Elephas maximus indicus: one gene and its partner. The protein of the gene in region 1 interacts with the protein of each later gene in a biochemical or structural test. Links are inferred from orthologs where the notes say so. Each region holds a gene or a part of one and is shown in the gene's direction. Other genes may lie near its edges.

Region 1 (7,907 bases):
ATAACTATATTTATTAAGTTTCCTTGTTTTTCACTTAGGAGACATCGGAGTGGTCTGGGTCCAGCCACACAGCCAGGCCCTGCTTCCCTAAAGCAGACAGCACATCCTGAACTACGGTGTGAATTCCCTGGGACTGCCTGACAGCTGCTGGTGGATGACCTATCCAGTCTCTTCTAGTTCTGGCCATCTGGGACCTTGAGAGACTTGTCTCCCAACAGGAGGTCCACAGAGACCCAGTGCGCTTGTGTCTGCACTCAGGCATTTTGCAGAAGAACTGCTGTGGAGGAGTCAAAAGTTCCCTCCTACTTCTAGGGATCGTCCACCTGGTGATGACTTCCATCCGGCCTCAGGAAAAAGCATGCCTCCCCTGAGTCCCACAATGACCTCAGATCACAAAGACCCTTACAATCTTCTCTACAGTCTGCTCATTCATGTATCATCTCCTCCATGAACCCTTCTTCTTTCTCCCCGCCTTGTACTCCACAGCACCATGTTCTTTCATTTATTGCTTTCTATCTCTGTAGTTTTTGTACACATGGTGGCCTCCCCAACTAAGGTGTACATTCCCTAAATGCAGGGATTGTGACTTGGTGACCTCTTCACTCCTCAGGCTGCTGAGAATAATGCCATGGAAGATGGTTTACACATGCTAAGATCACATCATTCCACTGCTCAAAACCTCCTTATGTGTCAATGGCGTCTCATATCACTGAGTGAATGATAAAGAGCCTACAGAGGCCTACATGGTCCGATGTGATCTGTTGTTCCTGTTACCACTCTCCCCTTGCTCAGCACTCTCCACTATATGGGCCTCCTTATTGTTCTTTGAACACACCAGGCAAGAGCCACTTCAGAGCCTTGGCATTTGCTGTTCTCTTTATTGGGACATTCTTTCCCCAGATGTCTGCATGGTTCACTTTCTCATGTCCTTCAAGGTTCTCTCAAAGGCCACTCTCTGGGTGAGGCCTTCCCTGACCACTCTTCACACTGTGACCTTCACACACCTGGCTTTCCCTTTCCCTTGATCAGTGTTTCTCCACAGGACTCGTCACTTTCTTCCTAGTGCATATTTTACTCATTTGTTGCATTTATTTTCTGTCTCCTCTCTCCTCACTAGGACATAAGCTACATTCTAGTTTTTATTTGTTCACTTCTGTATCCCCAGAGCCTAGGATAATGCCTGGCTGGGTAGGCATTCAAAAAATATTTGTTGAAAGAAAGAACGAACAAATTAATAAAAAGTTTTCCATAAATATTTGTTAAATTGATTTAAAAGATTTAAGATACAGATGACTGTGAAATTTCCAAATTCTTTACAAATATGGCAAAAAAAAAAAAAAAGACAGGGAATGGTGATATTGAGTGAAAGCTACCTCATTATAAACATCCTTGAGGAAGGATTAAAATTATGTATTTATGGTGGAAGGGGCAACCGGGCAAGGAAACATGCACCATCAGAGAAATATTTGGGGCTACGTAATTTCCTCGTGAGAGGGCTCCATCTGGGAGCAGGGCTAACACAGCCCCACCACCTCATTTTGACACTTGTCTACTCACAGGTGTTTTAAGTTATTTTGGTCTTTGCCTCACTCCTCAGAACATGAAAGACAGACATCTGGCCTTGGCTATGTGAGACTTCTCAGCTCTAACTAGGAAACCACCAGAAGTGAAAACAACAACAAAAACACCACACACGACTAGATCCTGGGTCTTGGGGAAGCAGAGCCCATTTCTGAGCAGTGTGAGTGGAACTCTTTTTTACTCAGGCTCCGCCTTTGCACTGTTTATCTGAAAAATTTCTCCCTGGCTTACTCTTCTGCAGCCACCTACTTTCCACAGGAGCATGGCGCTCTGATCTCCACGTTCTCTCTTCCCTCGGGGACTCCATAGTATTTTTTTCACGCTTCGCTGATACTACAGCAGACGCCTGCCTTCTCATTATTTGCTGTACAGATCTCCGGTGCCTTGACTGTAAACAAAACACTTTAGATCATAGCAAGGTCATGTAAGCACAGCCCTTCTGCTGGCAGCCAGACTTCTTAAGGTGGCTTCACCGTGGCTCGTTTATTTCTCAAGAGTAACAAAGCAACAAAATGGTGCTCCCACATAGTAACTGAAGATTCAGTGTGTAGGGGATAGAAGTATTCATTTTCTACTTTTATACAAAATGTTAATCCCATTATAAAATTAAACTTCTGTGACAAGCTAGTACTCTAGAATTTCTCCATTCATGTATGTAGTAGTTTGTAGTTATTATTCACATATACGCATACATAATATAAAATTCCTCTGTAGTCTAGCAGAGATTTAAGAATTTGGGCAAAAACACCTTATTTCAGGGCTAGGATATAAATTAAGGTCGTGAAATCTATCTTAACTTTCCTGCCCCCCTTCCTAACCTAACAACTTAGTGGGGCATTAAACGTAGACAATTAAAGAGGATGAGACCTCCTGCTTTGATCCTAGGTGAACTCTTTTCTGTCAGCCAGGTAGCAAGCCCTGACTTTGAAACCATTCTGTACACTGTATTCCCTCACTGCTCCCTGGGTGCCACCTCTGTCCTTTTGGAATCTGCGTTTAGTTGAACTAGTTGATAGTGATATTAAAGGCCAGTAATGGCAACATTTAAATATCAGTGACCACAGACCACGTCAAGGAAACATCTGCAAGCAGTCCCGGGCCTGGGAAGGAGCCGTTTTGAACCACGAGTAGGAAAGGAAGGCCTGTAGCACAAGCTAATCCAGACAAAAACTTGAACCAGTTGGAACCATCAGGAAGGAAAACCCACTGCCACCGAGTCTATTCTGACTCAGCAACCATATAGGACAGAGTAGAACTGCCCCATAGAGTTTCCAAGGAGTGCCTGGTAGATTTGAACTACTAACCTTTTGGTTAGCAGCCATAGCTCTTAACCACTACACCACCAGGGTTTCCATCAGGAAGGAAAGGAACAGAAAACGAATCAGATTGTGAGATAGGAGACCTGTGTCTAGTCCTGGCTCTGCTACCAACTGAATGTGTGTCCCTGGACAGGAAACTTTTCTGAGCCTCAATTTTCTCAGTGGTAAAACGAGAAGGTTGAACCACAGGGTCCCCAGGGACCCTCCCCACACTAACATTCCAGAGTGTATACAGAGGACAAATAAGACGTGGTTGTGAAAGCAAGTTAAAAATCAAACTCATCGATAGCATAGGTGCATGAGAACACATTGCTGCTGTGCAATGTTGGAACCAAACCAAAAACCCACTGCTGTGGAGTGATTCCGATTCATAGCGGCCCTGTGTTAGAAATGGAGGTTAATTTCCAGTAAAATTTATTTACTTTGGTCCAAGGAAGATTATGTGTATTGGGAGTGGGACTGGGAAGGCAGTTAAAGACCCACTGAGCTATGACAACCCTGCCCACCCAGTTTTAACTTCCACCACCGAGCTGAAGACCAAACTGACTGATATGTTTCAATTTGCAGAGCGGAGAGGAGAAATGACCTAATCACGTCAGGCATGAGGACATGGTTGTGGTGGTTTTATAAATCATTTCATAACATAGACTTTGATTCTTAGGGGAAATATTTTCACCTTTCAACAGCTTGCAGTCCTCTGAAAGCAGCCAGTTGCATCTGAACGTAGTTTGGGTGTGTTGGAGCAGGAAGCCGGTGGGAGAGAAAGGTGGAGGAAGGAAGGAGCTGTTGCCTTTGGCGACTGGACTCAGGTAGAGGAAACTACTACAACCCGTGAAAGAATTGAAAAGTATAAAGAGAAGGAGGCGAGTTCCCACACGCAGTCAATGTCAGTGGCCTTAAGTGTACTGGGGAAGCAAGAACCTGGGCCAAGGGTGTAACCTCGGTTTTCAAAACTAAATGTATCTGAAACGGCTACAAAGTTTAAGGGACTTGGGCAAGCAGTCGAGCTTTTGATCTTTAGATTCTTTTCCAATGCGTGAGAGCTTGGGTTCAGAACACAGTATGAAGGCTGCGCCTGGCTACCTTATAGAAAGACATTAGCCCTGGCTTTTCCCCTTAACTTCTGGGTTAAGCCTGAGCTAACCGTTGCCCACCCCCTGTGGCACTCTGACATGGAGGCAGGGATGGGGTGCGCGGGGAGGGGGGTGGTCCTGGCCCTCGGCAAAGGTTTCCTGACCTCCTCCGCAGAGCACGAGGTGGGGGCCACTGCCTCGAGCCCAGAAGAAGCCTCAGCTCGCACCATCTGCCTCCGCCCTCCACTCCCCCGCGCCTCCGGCTCGGCGAGTGCAGGGAAAACAAGATCGCCACCGAGGCTCAAAACGTTGAGAGGAGAGCAACATTACAGATCATCTGGTCCAGCCCCTTCGTTTCACCGGCCAGGAGCTGGAGGTCTGGGCTAACGAGCGGGCGGGCCAGCCAGCGCAGCGCGGGGACCAGTACCCATGGCCCCGCCTGCCCCGCCGCAGAGGCCCCTCCCCAGCTTCCCGGCCGTTTGGCTAGTTTGTTTGTCTTATTTTTAATTTCTCCGAGGCCAGCCAGAGCAGGTTTGCTGGCAGCAGTACACCTCCAGCAATCACGGGACCAGCCAATCTCCTCCTTGCGCTCTCGGAGTCGGCGCGCTCTGGAAGGCGGAGAGGCGGCGGAACCGCGCCGGGGCCACCTTAAGGCCGCGCTCGCCAGCCTCAGCTGGGCGGCTCCCGGCGCCGCAACCAATGGATCTCCTCCTCTGTTTAAATAGACTTGCGGTGTCAATCATTTTCTTCTTCGTCAGCCTCCCTTCCACCGCCATATTGGGCAACTAAAAAAAGGGGGCTCGCCTTTTCAGGGTGTTTTTCTCCCTTTCCCTTCTCCCCACTTTCTCTCCGCTCCGCGACTCTGACGCCGGCAAGGTTTGGAGAGCGGCTGGGTTCGCGGGACCCGCGGGCTAGCGGCAGCCGGGACTTGGCCTGGCCTTTCCGCCCCCTCCTCCTTCCTCCTCCCCTCCCCTCCCCGCCCTCCCGCTCGCCGGTACACTTGATCTGCGGAGACTTTCGGCTGCCTCTCCGGGGCTTCCCCTTACTCCCTCCCCCAGATCCAGCGCGCTCCTGAAGCTCGGGCACTTACTTGTTGGTGTTTGTTTCTCTTGGCTCCGAGGGCAGTCGCAGAGCTTCTAAAAGGGGGTTGGGTTGGGTCGGGGCGTTTTGTTTTGTTCGGTTTTGTTTTTTGAGAGAGCCAGAGAGGCGGTAGTAAAGACTCGAGAGGAAGATGTCAAACGTGCGAGTGTCTAACGGGAGCCCGAGCCTGGAGCGGATGGACGCCAGACAGGCGGAGTACCCTAAGCCCTCCGCCTGCAGAAACCTCTTCGGCCCGGTGAATCACGAAGAGTTAACTCGGGACTTGGAGAAGCACTGCAGAGACATGGAAGAGGCTAGCCAGCGCAAGTGGAATTTTGATTTTCAGAATCACAAGCCCCTGGAGGGGAAATACGAGTGGCAAGAGATGGAAAAGGGCAGCTTGCCCGAGTTTTACTACAGACCCCCGCGGCCCCCCAAAGGCGCATGCAAGGTACCGGCGCAAGAGAGCCAGGATGTCAACGGGAGCCGTCAGGCGGTGCCTTTAATAGGGTCTCAGGCAAACTCAGAGGACACACATTTGGTAGACCAAAAGACTGAAACATCAGACAGCCAGACGGGGTTAGCGGAGCAGTGCCCTGGGATACGGAAGAGACCTGCAACAGACGGTAATGACCTTTTCAAACGTATATGCCTGTCTGGGGCAGCGCTTTGCTTGCTTGAGGGTCTTAAATTTAGCTCTTTGTACCGTATTCTGATCTAGATTTTGGGAGCGAACTTTATTAATCCTGGGCTGTGAATGCTACCTGCTGACTGCTTGTTTGTTTACGCTTTTTAAACCAGAATCCAGCGATGGGGTAATATCTGATATTTTCACTAACTTAAAACATCGCAGTTCCTTTTCCAGCCTTAGTTATGTGACAATGTTGAGATGTTTATCAACGGCCTTCCTCTACCCTGTGGAGAGAGCGATTTGGGGCGTAGAATACACTTTTTGTTACGTGAAAACAATCTGATTTTGTGCACTTAAAGGGCACTGTGATGAAGGATCCAGGATTGTGGGTGGAGGTAGTGGGTTTTTCATTCCCTGACTATGGGGTCAACTTGTCTGAGCCATTGTTTTTTCTAATAAAGATTGTGTGTGTGCTTTTTTTTTTTTTTTTTTGGAATTTCCCCTTGTCCTTAGATTCTTCTACTCAAAACAAAAGAGCCAACAGAACAGAAGAAAATGTTTCAGAAGGGTCCCCAAACGCAGGCTCAGTGGAGCAGACGCCCAAGAAGCCGAGCCTCAGAAGACGTCAAACATAAACCGCTTGGTGGGTTGATTACTAAGAGCAAACAACTGACACCCGAATGGGGCTGCAGGAACCCTGTGGGTCAGAAAACCCCAAGATACCTGATCTTCCTGGTTGCTGGCAGATAAGGAGCTCGTGGGTGTTTGTTTTTATTTTGTGAGGTCAAAAAAGTAGGAATGGGGAAACGTGGGGAATCACTGTGGGAATACTGTAATTCTTCAAAATCTACGTCCTGAGATAATTTTCCCTTAACACACTATACAGCTAGAACAAGTGTGCTAGGCAAGTACTTGTAGCCAAGACCCCATGAGTAGGAAGGTTATTTCCTTGTGAGTCCCACCAAAACATGCTGGGAACAATAGGTTCTTTCCTCATCTGAGTGAGAACTGGGGTAAGCCTCAGTCCCACTTCATGAGGACTCATTTCCCAGAGGTTCAGGTTGAGTCACTAACAGATTTTGAGGCCATACATTCAATGATTGGCTTTCAAATTTGAGGGGGGAAGTTAGGTACAAAAAGCTCACATTTGGTTAATCAAGTGATTAGAAATGTGAATAGGGTGGAATGTTGTGTTCTTTTCTTTTTACTGTTTTCATAGACTATCACTTATCATTATCTGGTTTCTGATAAATTTGGGGGAGAGAAGGAGCCTGCATATTTTTAAAAAAAAATCCCTAGTGAAAGCTCAAAAATACTAAAGTTCCTGTAGAATTCTGGTAACACCAAAGTTGCAAAGCAGAAGTTAAATGAACTCTGCCAGGGTAAGCAATCCAGGAACACGTCAGCATGTGTATGCTAATCATGCTATAACAGGACAATGTAGATATTTGTAGGGGAAATGGGTAGTACAGATCAGGGCTTGCCAAGGGTAGGTCTACCAGGCACAAGAGAAGTGGAGATTTTTCCATTTACTAAAATTTGATCACCATGTATAGCTAATTTGAATACTTTAGCACTCAAGTGGATTGGCTGTGCCTGATAATCAAACTGCATGTATTCTAGTAGTTTACAGGCTTCTTAAAAACGAGGACTGTTAACCCTTTTTTTTTTCCTCCAAAAAGCACACTTAAAGCCTAGCATTTAAAAAGATCATAGTAGATGTTGATATTAACTTTTTAAATCCTAGTTTATAAAATTTTTAAAATAAATTCCCACAAGGATTAAAGCGGGGTTCAGGTTTGTTGTGTTTTTAAAACATTATAATGTCATATGTATGACTTTTCCACACATGTATATATTTTTAGAGCTTATACAAAATGGCACTATAAAATCTCTCTATTATATACAGTTCTGTATGAAGTAGGAAAATTTTTCTTGAAGCAACCTTAACACATACAGCTCTTTTTGGTTTGTGACTTGTGGCTTTGCTCATTACATGAGCCGCTGTGAATCAGAACTACTGAATTCTGACCACATTCTGACATGCAGAGAGACATTCGTTAGTAAATGTTGCCAATTTAAAGAATCCTAGGAGTAGTAGTAAGGTCTGTTCAAAAGCATGTATGTGTATATTCTGTCTGTAAATAAGAGAATATTTATTTGTTCCTGAGTTTTTAAAAAAGATACTGATTGAATTTTCATTTGAAGGGCCTTTATAAATTA
Region 2 (7,966 bases), on another chromosome or scaffold:
TTATCAATTTTGTTAATGTTTTCAAAGAACAAGCTTTTGTTCTTGTTAGCTCTTTCAATTGTTTTTCTATTCTCTATTTCATTTAATTCTGCTCCAATTTTCATTATTTGCTTTCTTCTGGTTCCCCAGGATTTCTTTTGTTGCTCTCTATTTCTTCAAGTTGCAGGCATAATTCTTTGATTTTGGCCCTTTCTACTTTTTGGATGTGTACATTTATTGATAGAAATTGACCCCTGAGCACTGCTTTCACTGTGTCCCAAAAGTTCTGATAGGAAATATTTTCATTTTCATTGGATTCTATGAATTTCTTTATCCCATCCTTAATTTCTTCTATAACCCATTTGCTTTTTATCAGGGTATTGTTCAGTTTCCAATTGTTTAATTTCTTTTCCCTGCTTTTTCTGTTATTGATTTCTGCTTTTATGGCTTTATGACAGAGAAGCTGCTTTGTAGTATTTCATTGTTTTGGATTCTGCTAAGGCTTGCTTTATGACCTAATATGTGGTTTATTCTAGAGAATGTTCCATGTGCACTAGAAAAGAATTATACTTGGCTGCTGCTGGGTGGTGTGTTCTGTATATATCTATGAGGTCAAATTCCTTGATTGTGACATTTAGATCTTCCGTGTCTTCACTGAACTTCTTTCTGGATGTTCTGTCCTTCACTGAAAGTGGTGTGTTGAAGTCTCCTACTATAATTGTGGCGCTGTCTATCTCACTTTTCAATGCTGATAGAGTTTATGTACCTGAAGCCCTGTCATTGGGTACGTATTTAATACCGTTGTATCCTCCCGGTATATTGTCCCTTTAATCATTATATAGTGTCCTTCCTTTTTCGTTGTGGTGGATTTTACTTTAAAGTCTGTTTTGTCAGAAATTAATATTGACACTCCTGCTGTTTTTTGGTTGTTGTTTGCTTGGTATATTTTTTTCCGTCCTTTGAATTTTAGCTTGTTTGTGTCTTTAAGTCTAAGGTGTGTCTCTTGTAGGCAGTATATAGACAGATCATGTTTTTTTAATCCATTCTGCCACTCTCTGTCTCTTTATTGGTGCATTTATTCCATTTACATTCAGTGTAATTATGTTTTATGAGTTTAGTGCTATTATTTTGATGTCTTTTTTTGTGTGTGTTTGACAGGTTTTTTTCCACTTAATTTTTTGTGCTGAGTAGTTTTTCTTTTTATATTATAGTCTTTTCATCTTTTTCATTGTTGATTTTGTTTTTGCTGAGTCGTTACATTTTTTCTTGTATTTTATTCTGATGCATAGGATTGTTAACCTGTTTTGTGGTTACCATAATATTTACTCCTATTTTTCTAGGTTTAAACCAAACTCTTATTTGTTTATATCACCTTGACTTCTTTTCTATATGAAAGATCTATGACTATATTTTTTAGTCCCTCTTTATTGATTTAATGTTGCCATCTTTTACATAATGACATCACTGTTTCCCTGTTTTCAGCATTTTTTTATCTTGATTTTTTTGTGTGTGTGTGATTTCCCTATCTGGGTTGACACCTAGTTGCTCTGTCCTGCGTTCTAGTATTGTGTTGATAGCTGATATTATTGATTTTCTAACCAGAGAACTCCCTTTAGTATTTCTTGTAGTTTTGGTTTGGCTTTTGTAAATTCCCTAAACTTCTGTTTATCTGGAAGTGTCCTAATTTCACCTTCATATTTGAGAGACAGTCTTGCTGAATATATGATTCTTGACTGGTGATTTTTTTTTCCTTCAATGCTGTATATATGTTATCCTATTGCCTTCCTGCCTGCATGGTTTCTGCTAAGTAGTCTGCGCTAATTCTTATTAACTCTCCTTTGTGGGTGACTTTTTGTTTATCCCTAGCTGCTCTTAAAATCCTCTTTTTATCTTTGGTTTTGCCAAGTTTGGTTATAATATATCTTGGTGATTTTCTTTTGGAATCTATCTCATGTGGGATTCAATGAGCATCCTGGATAGATATCTTCGTATCGTTCACAGTATCAGGGAAGTTTCTGTCAATATATCTTCAACAATTTTCTGTTCTCCTTTCCTGTTCTGGTACTCCAATGACTCGTCAATTATTTCTCTTGATAGAGTCCCACATGATTCTTAGGGTTTTTTTTTTTTTTAATCTTTTGTACAATTTTTATTTGAATATATTGGTGCCAAGTTTTTTATCTTCCATCTCACTAATTCTGACTTCCATTTCCTCAATTCTGCTCCTCTGACTTTCTACTGAGTTGTCTAATTCTGAAATTTTATTGTTAATCTTCTGAATTTCTGATTGCTGTCTCTCTATGGATTCTTGCAGCTTTCAGGCAGCCATCTATGTGTGTGGAACAAAGGAGAGTGAAGGAAACCAAAGACTGAAGGAAATAGTCCAAAGGACTAGTGGACCACAGGAGCCACAGCCTCCACCAGCCTGAGACCATAAGAACTAGATGGTGACTGGCTACCACTACCAACTGCTCTGAACAGGATCACAAAAAGGTCCCAGTTAGAGTGAGGGGAAAATGTAGGACAAAATTCAAATTCATAAAAAAAAAAAAAAAAAAAGACCAGATTTACTGGTCAGAGAAAGATTGGAGGAACCCCTGAGAATGTAGCCCTTAGATACCCTTCTAATTTGGAACCAAAGCCATGCCTGGAGATCGCCTTTCAGCCAAATAATAGACAGGCCTATAAAATAAACAAGAACACCCATGATAAAAGTGCTTCTTAAAATAATCATCTCCATGAGACCAAAAGGACAACATATGTCCAAAAGCAAAGATGAGAAGACAGGAAGTGGCAGGAAAACCAGAGAAATGGAAATGGAGAACTCAGGGTGGTAATGTGCTGACACATTTTGGGGAATGCCGCCTATGTCATGGAACAAAGTGTGTATAAACTATTGAATGGGAAGCTAACTTGCTCTGTAAACCTTCACCTAAAGAACAATAAAAAAGTTTTACCTTTAGAGACCTATTATGTCATATTCCTTACAATAAAAAGATTCAAATAAAAGACATTAAAAAAAAAAAACTGAAGGTGTTGGATTCTCTACCTACTCACAGAAATCTACAGTTTTCTGACAGGTAGATCACTTTATTAGATTTTACATTTATTTGACTCTTAACGGATGTACAAGTCTTTTCTGCTTAACATTTTAAAAGTATTTGCACTCGATAGAATGTGGCATTTTTTAAAACTCAAAGAGATATTTAAAATGATTTCTGCTTGAATTTTGGCTATCTCACATGTTGTTTTCTCTGATTTACACTCACAATTTCTGAGGTCATTATTCTAATACACATTAATCCTTCTTGCACAAAGTTTGCATTTTTTTCTCCACTCATCCATGCAGTAGACTGAGGAGAATGTTCTGCCAGGTGTTGTGCTAAATCCTGGGATTATAAAATTGAATAAAAGCCCTTTGTCTATACTTAAGGGGTTTAGATTCCAATGGACTAGACCTATAAGTTAACAGAAAATCATTGTGAGTACTTGTTCAATGGCTGTCTTTTTCCACTGAATTTTGTGCTCCATGAGGGCAGGGATCTTGTGTGTCTGATTCCCTGATGTTAATACCAGCATCTAATATGCAGTTGGCAGTCAATAAGTATTTATTAAATGAGAAAGGGCTAAAATGGATGCATACAGAGGGAGCCATAGGAGCCCCCCAAAGGGACACCTGCCTAGTTTTATGGGTGCAGATTAGGCTGGGGGTGGTGTGAGGGTGTCACTACAGAGGTATTAGAACTTTCTTGAAGTGAGATTTGAGCCAAGTCCCAGGAGGTAGAAGAAATTAGTGAGATAAAAGCATGACTGGAGTGGCTCAGGAGCTTCCCTATCATTGTTGAGGAACTTTAAGTACTTCTGGAGTGCCAAGAAGGATCAGTCTGTAGAGGCATGCAGGGAGAGATTTTGTAGGGTCTTGTTTTTTTTGTTGTTGTTTACTGTCAAGTCACTCCAACTCATAGTGACCCTATAGGAGTAAAACTGCCCCACAGGGTTTTCTAGGCTGTAATCTTTATGACTTAAATCCACTCTGTGCCAATGTGAGTTTTTTTTTTTTTTTAATCTTTGCGGAAGCAGATTAATTACCATATCTTTTTCTCACAGAGGGTTTGAACTTCAGATCTTTTGGTTAGCAGCTGAGCACTTAATCACTGTTGTCACCAGGGCTCCCTGAAGGGCCTTATAGGCTGTGCTGTTTATTTATTTCTATTTTAGTATATATAATATTTTATATTTTTTGCTTGCTTAACTTACATTTTTTACTTGTCCACAAACTCATACCACACTAGTTGCTCACTGATATTAAGGACTGTATCTTTTTTTTTTTTTTTTATCTTTTTTGTTACCCAAACCTGTTGCCCTGGAGTCGATTTGGACTCATAGGGACCCTACAGGACAGCGTAGAACTGCTCTACAGGGTCTCTGAACAGCGGCTGCTGGATTCGAACTGCTGACTTTTTTTTTTTTGGTTAGTAGCCCAAGCTGTTAACGACTTCGCCACGAGGGCTCCGACTCACAGCGACTCTGGAGGGAAAGTCAATGTAAGCATTTTAGGATTTATTAGGGTTTGTCATACCCAGGTACCAATAAGATTAAGGAAAACGTCCGGGTTGTTGAACTACGTTATACCCGGACAGTAAAAAGAGCCGAACAGACTGTTGTGTTGCGCTCCGAAGCCAGGCTTGGCAAACAAATAACACGAAAGGGCAGAGCAAGTGTTGGTACCCATCAAGAGTGGCAAGCAGGACGTGTCTGTGGGCATACGTGGCTGTTTCGCGCGCTGAGCGGCCCTGAATTTGATACTAGCTTAGAAAACCCAAGGAGACAGAAACGTTGAGTAAGCGGAACGCGGAACTCAGGCACCCTGGCTCTCCCTCCGGACGCAGTTTTCAAGCGCACCAGCGAGCATTCGGCAGAAGGTGGAGCGTCTCCCCTCGATCGAGGCGGTGCCTCAGCCGGAAGGAGACTGAACTGCCTGTAGGGAAAAAAGCGCAGGAGTCGGTCTTTCCTCCATAGCTTCCCCGCCAGCTAGAAGATCCTAAGCCGTAGCACAGGCTTCCGGCTTCTCAGTAAATGATTAGTGGTCGAATCGGCCTCCGCGGAAGCGGTGGCAAGCCTCTTCCGCCTCCCAGTCAGTTTTAGGACCCGAAAGGAGAGCCGCCGTCGACTTTTCCAGAGGATTCATTCCAGGCGAGGTGAGTTTGGAGGAAAGCCGTGAGTTCCGTCGAAGAAAGCAGGCCATCCTTGGGGCCGCCTTCCTCTTTTCTGATTGGTTAAGTGCTCCCTCAATCAGTTCTTCTAGCTAGTGATTGGTTGGAATGCTCTGTCTCTCACTGACTTCCGGGTGGGAATCTAGGTCGCCAAGGGAAGCGTTACTTCGCTCTCGTTTGGGAAGAGGTTGGTTGGGCCCTGGAGCCGAGTTTGTTTGTTGCAGTCGGGACTGTCCCCGAGGCGCGAGCTTCCGTCGCAACGGACAAGAAGGGAACTAGTAGCGGGACGGCGGGCAGAGGGGCAAGAAAGTGAAGGTTTAAAAGTAAAGTGTATTCACACGTAATCCTGGCCACAGCTAAATGGGAGGAGGAGAGGCAGGAAGGCCTTTGGGAGAGAGGAGCGTAATCTCTGGGGCTGGGACAGTGTAGGAGGAAAGGCCTACATTTCTGTTGTGGGAGCAAAGGGCCTGGCGGGAGATTTTCATGACCTAATTGTGTGGGGATCTCATTTTCTAGGTGAGTGTCTAAGAAAATCCACGGGAGAATTGGCTTTGTCTTGCAGCGGAGTGGAGACTACCAGCAGTTCCGGCCTTCCAAAAGACAGATTAGTTTGAATAATTCGGCTCTTTTCCAATTGCTTCAGATGGGCAATTCTTAAAAAAAAACACGAACAATTGAAAGATGGATACCGTTGCATATATTGAAAGCATATTGAAAGGAAAATAAGGTATTCACTTTGATCTGTGGTAAATTATGCGAGAAAATTTCCTGTGAGGAGATGCTCTTAAGTTTTGAGTAATAATAAGAGGAGCTTGATTTATGATAGGTATCAACTTTTTAAATTGTTTAGTACAAAAATTTTATTAAAACTGTCCCTACTAAATAGATTCCTTGGTCCTGATTATTCTGAAAGGGGAAAGAAATCTTAAGTTTTTGGTAATGTTGATTTACATTTGAGTGGATTGCTCTTCTAGATCTTTCATTAAAAAAGACATGGTCACTGTAAAAAAAATTCTTGAATTTGTAATTGCTTGGTACAGTACATACGAATTTGGGTAAGTGCTGGCTTATACAGTAGTTTAGAACTGTAAGCTAATTTTATATTTAAAGCAATATGCTGATTTAACACCTAGTATTTTTTATATTTATATATTGAGAATTAGAATTGCAACTGGCAACCTAAATCATTTGATCCTCCGGCCTTTACTAACTTACATTAACTCGCACCCTTTGGTGACATACAGAAATTGTCTGGGAATAGTTTATTTCATCACAGTACCTCAAATGAGCTCTTAAAGATAGGTGTTGGCCCTACCCTGGAAAATTCTAATTTAGAATTGGGGATGAGATGTGAACATTCCTTTTTTTTTGTTTTTGATTTCTTCAGGTGGTTGTGATGTGCACTCCCAATTGAGAACCATTGCCTTAGTGATTTAATAAATGTTCAAAAAAGAGTTAAGATATTTACAAAAATTTTTTTTTTGCCATGATTTCCTTATAGTAAGGAGCCCTGGTGGTGCAGTGATTAAAGGACTTGGCTGCAAACTGAAAGGTTGGCAGTTTGAACCCATCAGCTGCTCTGCCAGAGAAAGATGTGGCAGCCTGCTTCCATAAAGATTTACAGTCTTGGAAACCCTATGGGGCAGTTCTACTCTGTCCTGGGTAGCTATGAGTTGGAATCCACTCACAACAGTGGGTTTGGTTTTGAGTTTCCTGGAAACCCTGGTGGTATAGTGGTTAATGCTACGGCTGCTAACCAAAAGGTTGGCAGTTCGAGTCTACCAGGTGCTCCTTGGAAACCCTATGAGGCAGTTCTCCTCTGTCCTGTAGGGTCGCTATGCATCAGAAATGACTCAGTGGCAACGGGTTTGGTTTTTTTGGTTTTTGTGTTTTAAAAGTAGGTTTCTCAGGGATGACATTTAAGCATAATATAAATAAAGTGTTTGTTTAGGCAAGGTGAAGAATTTCCCCGGTACTCAGAGACATGGGACTAACGATTCCAGGCTTTGGGGAGCGCTCTCTGCACTCTCACAGTTCTCAGAGCCGTGCATGGAGGGCTCTTTACTGTTAAATTTCAAAAGGCTTTCTGTTAGGCTTTCAAGAGAGATCGGGAGGAATAATTATTTTTACCTCAACAAAGTGCAATGCGGTAATAGTACGTTTATCTGAGTTTTATTTTGAGAAGAATATTCTTGCCGAAAATAAATACAAATAGCCCTTGCTTATTAAGTAAAGAACGTAAATAATTAAAGGTTGAAATTTATGAATTACATGAAATATCCAGATACTTGAAACATCAGTAAGGGTTTTTAGACTGAGTTAACCACAATATTGAGGGGTTAAAAAAAAATGAGGCACTCACTTTGAGATTCAGATATGGAAAGTTGTGTGGTAAAGCCAAATCCAGTCTGACTTTAACTATGACTTTAGGCAAAGAAGTAGGTCCTGTTGTGTTCTGTCTCTTAGCTGTTTTTCATTTGTGTGGATATTCACAAGATTTGGCAAATGAAGTATTTGAGTAGGGACAAAAAGACCAAATAAATACGAAAAAAAAAAAAAAACAGATAAAAGCTATAAGGTAAAAATATAAAGCCATGTGTCATCCACGAATAAATACCTTGACTTCTGTATGTATTGTTTGAACAGAAAGCCAGGAAATCTCAGTATGAGTCAGTCTAGATCTAGATCAGATGATGGTGGTGAAGAATCCTCATTTCAAGACCATGATCATCGTGAAAATGAGAGAAGGTGGCAGCAAGAGCGTCTCCGGAGAG

What was found.
Region 2: of the proteins of CDKN1B (region 1) and RNF6, one has a biochemical effect on the other in vitro, tested with the Homo sapiens proteins (2 studies listed by BioGRID, with this or other methods). The link is inferred for Elephas maximus indicus from reciprocal best matches to the Homo sapiens genes CDKN1B and RNF6.

What each region holds. Positions count from the first base shown.
Region 1 is NC_064822.1:71,306,782-71,314,688, forward strand, and holds the start of CDKN1B (cyclin-dependent kinase inhibitor 1B), read left to right. Parts: upstream 1-4,907; 5' UTR 4,908-5,204; coding exon 5,205-5,679; intron 5,680-6,197; coding exon 6,198-6,319; 3' UTR 6,320-6,327; intron 6,328-7,907. UniProt on the Homo sapiens protein: Important regulator of cell cycle progression. Inhibits the kinase activity of CDK2 bound to cyclin A, but has little inhibitory activity on CDK2 bound to SPDYA. Involved in G1 arrest. Potent inhibitor of cyclin E- and cyclin A-CDK2 complexes.
Region 2 is NC_064841.1:57,961,891-57,969,856, reverse strand, and holds the start of RNF6 (E3 ubiquitin-protein ligase RNF6), read left to right. Parts: upstream 1-4,891; 5' UTR 4,892-5,177; intron 5,178-5,197; exon of another isoform or gene 5,198-5,379; intron 5,380-5,708; exon of another isoform or gene 5,709-5,919; intron 5,920-7,838; 5' UTR 7,839-7,857; coding exon 7,858-7,966. UniProt on the Homo sapiens protein: E3 ubiquitin-protein ligase mediating 'Lys-48'-linked polyubiquitination of LIMK1 and its subsequent targeting to the proteasome for degradation. Negatively regulates axonal outgrowth through regulation of the LIMK1 turnover.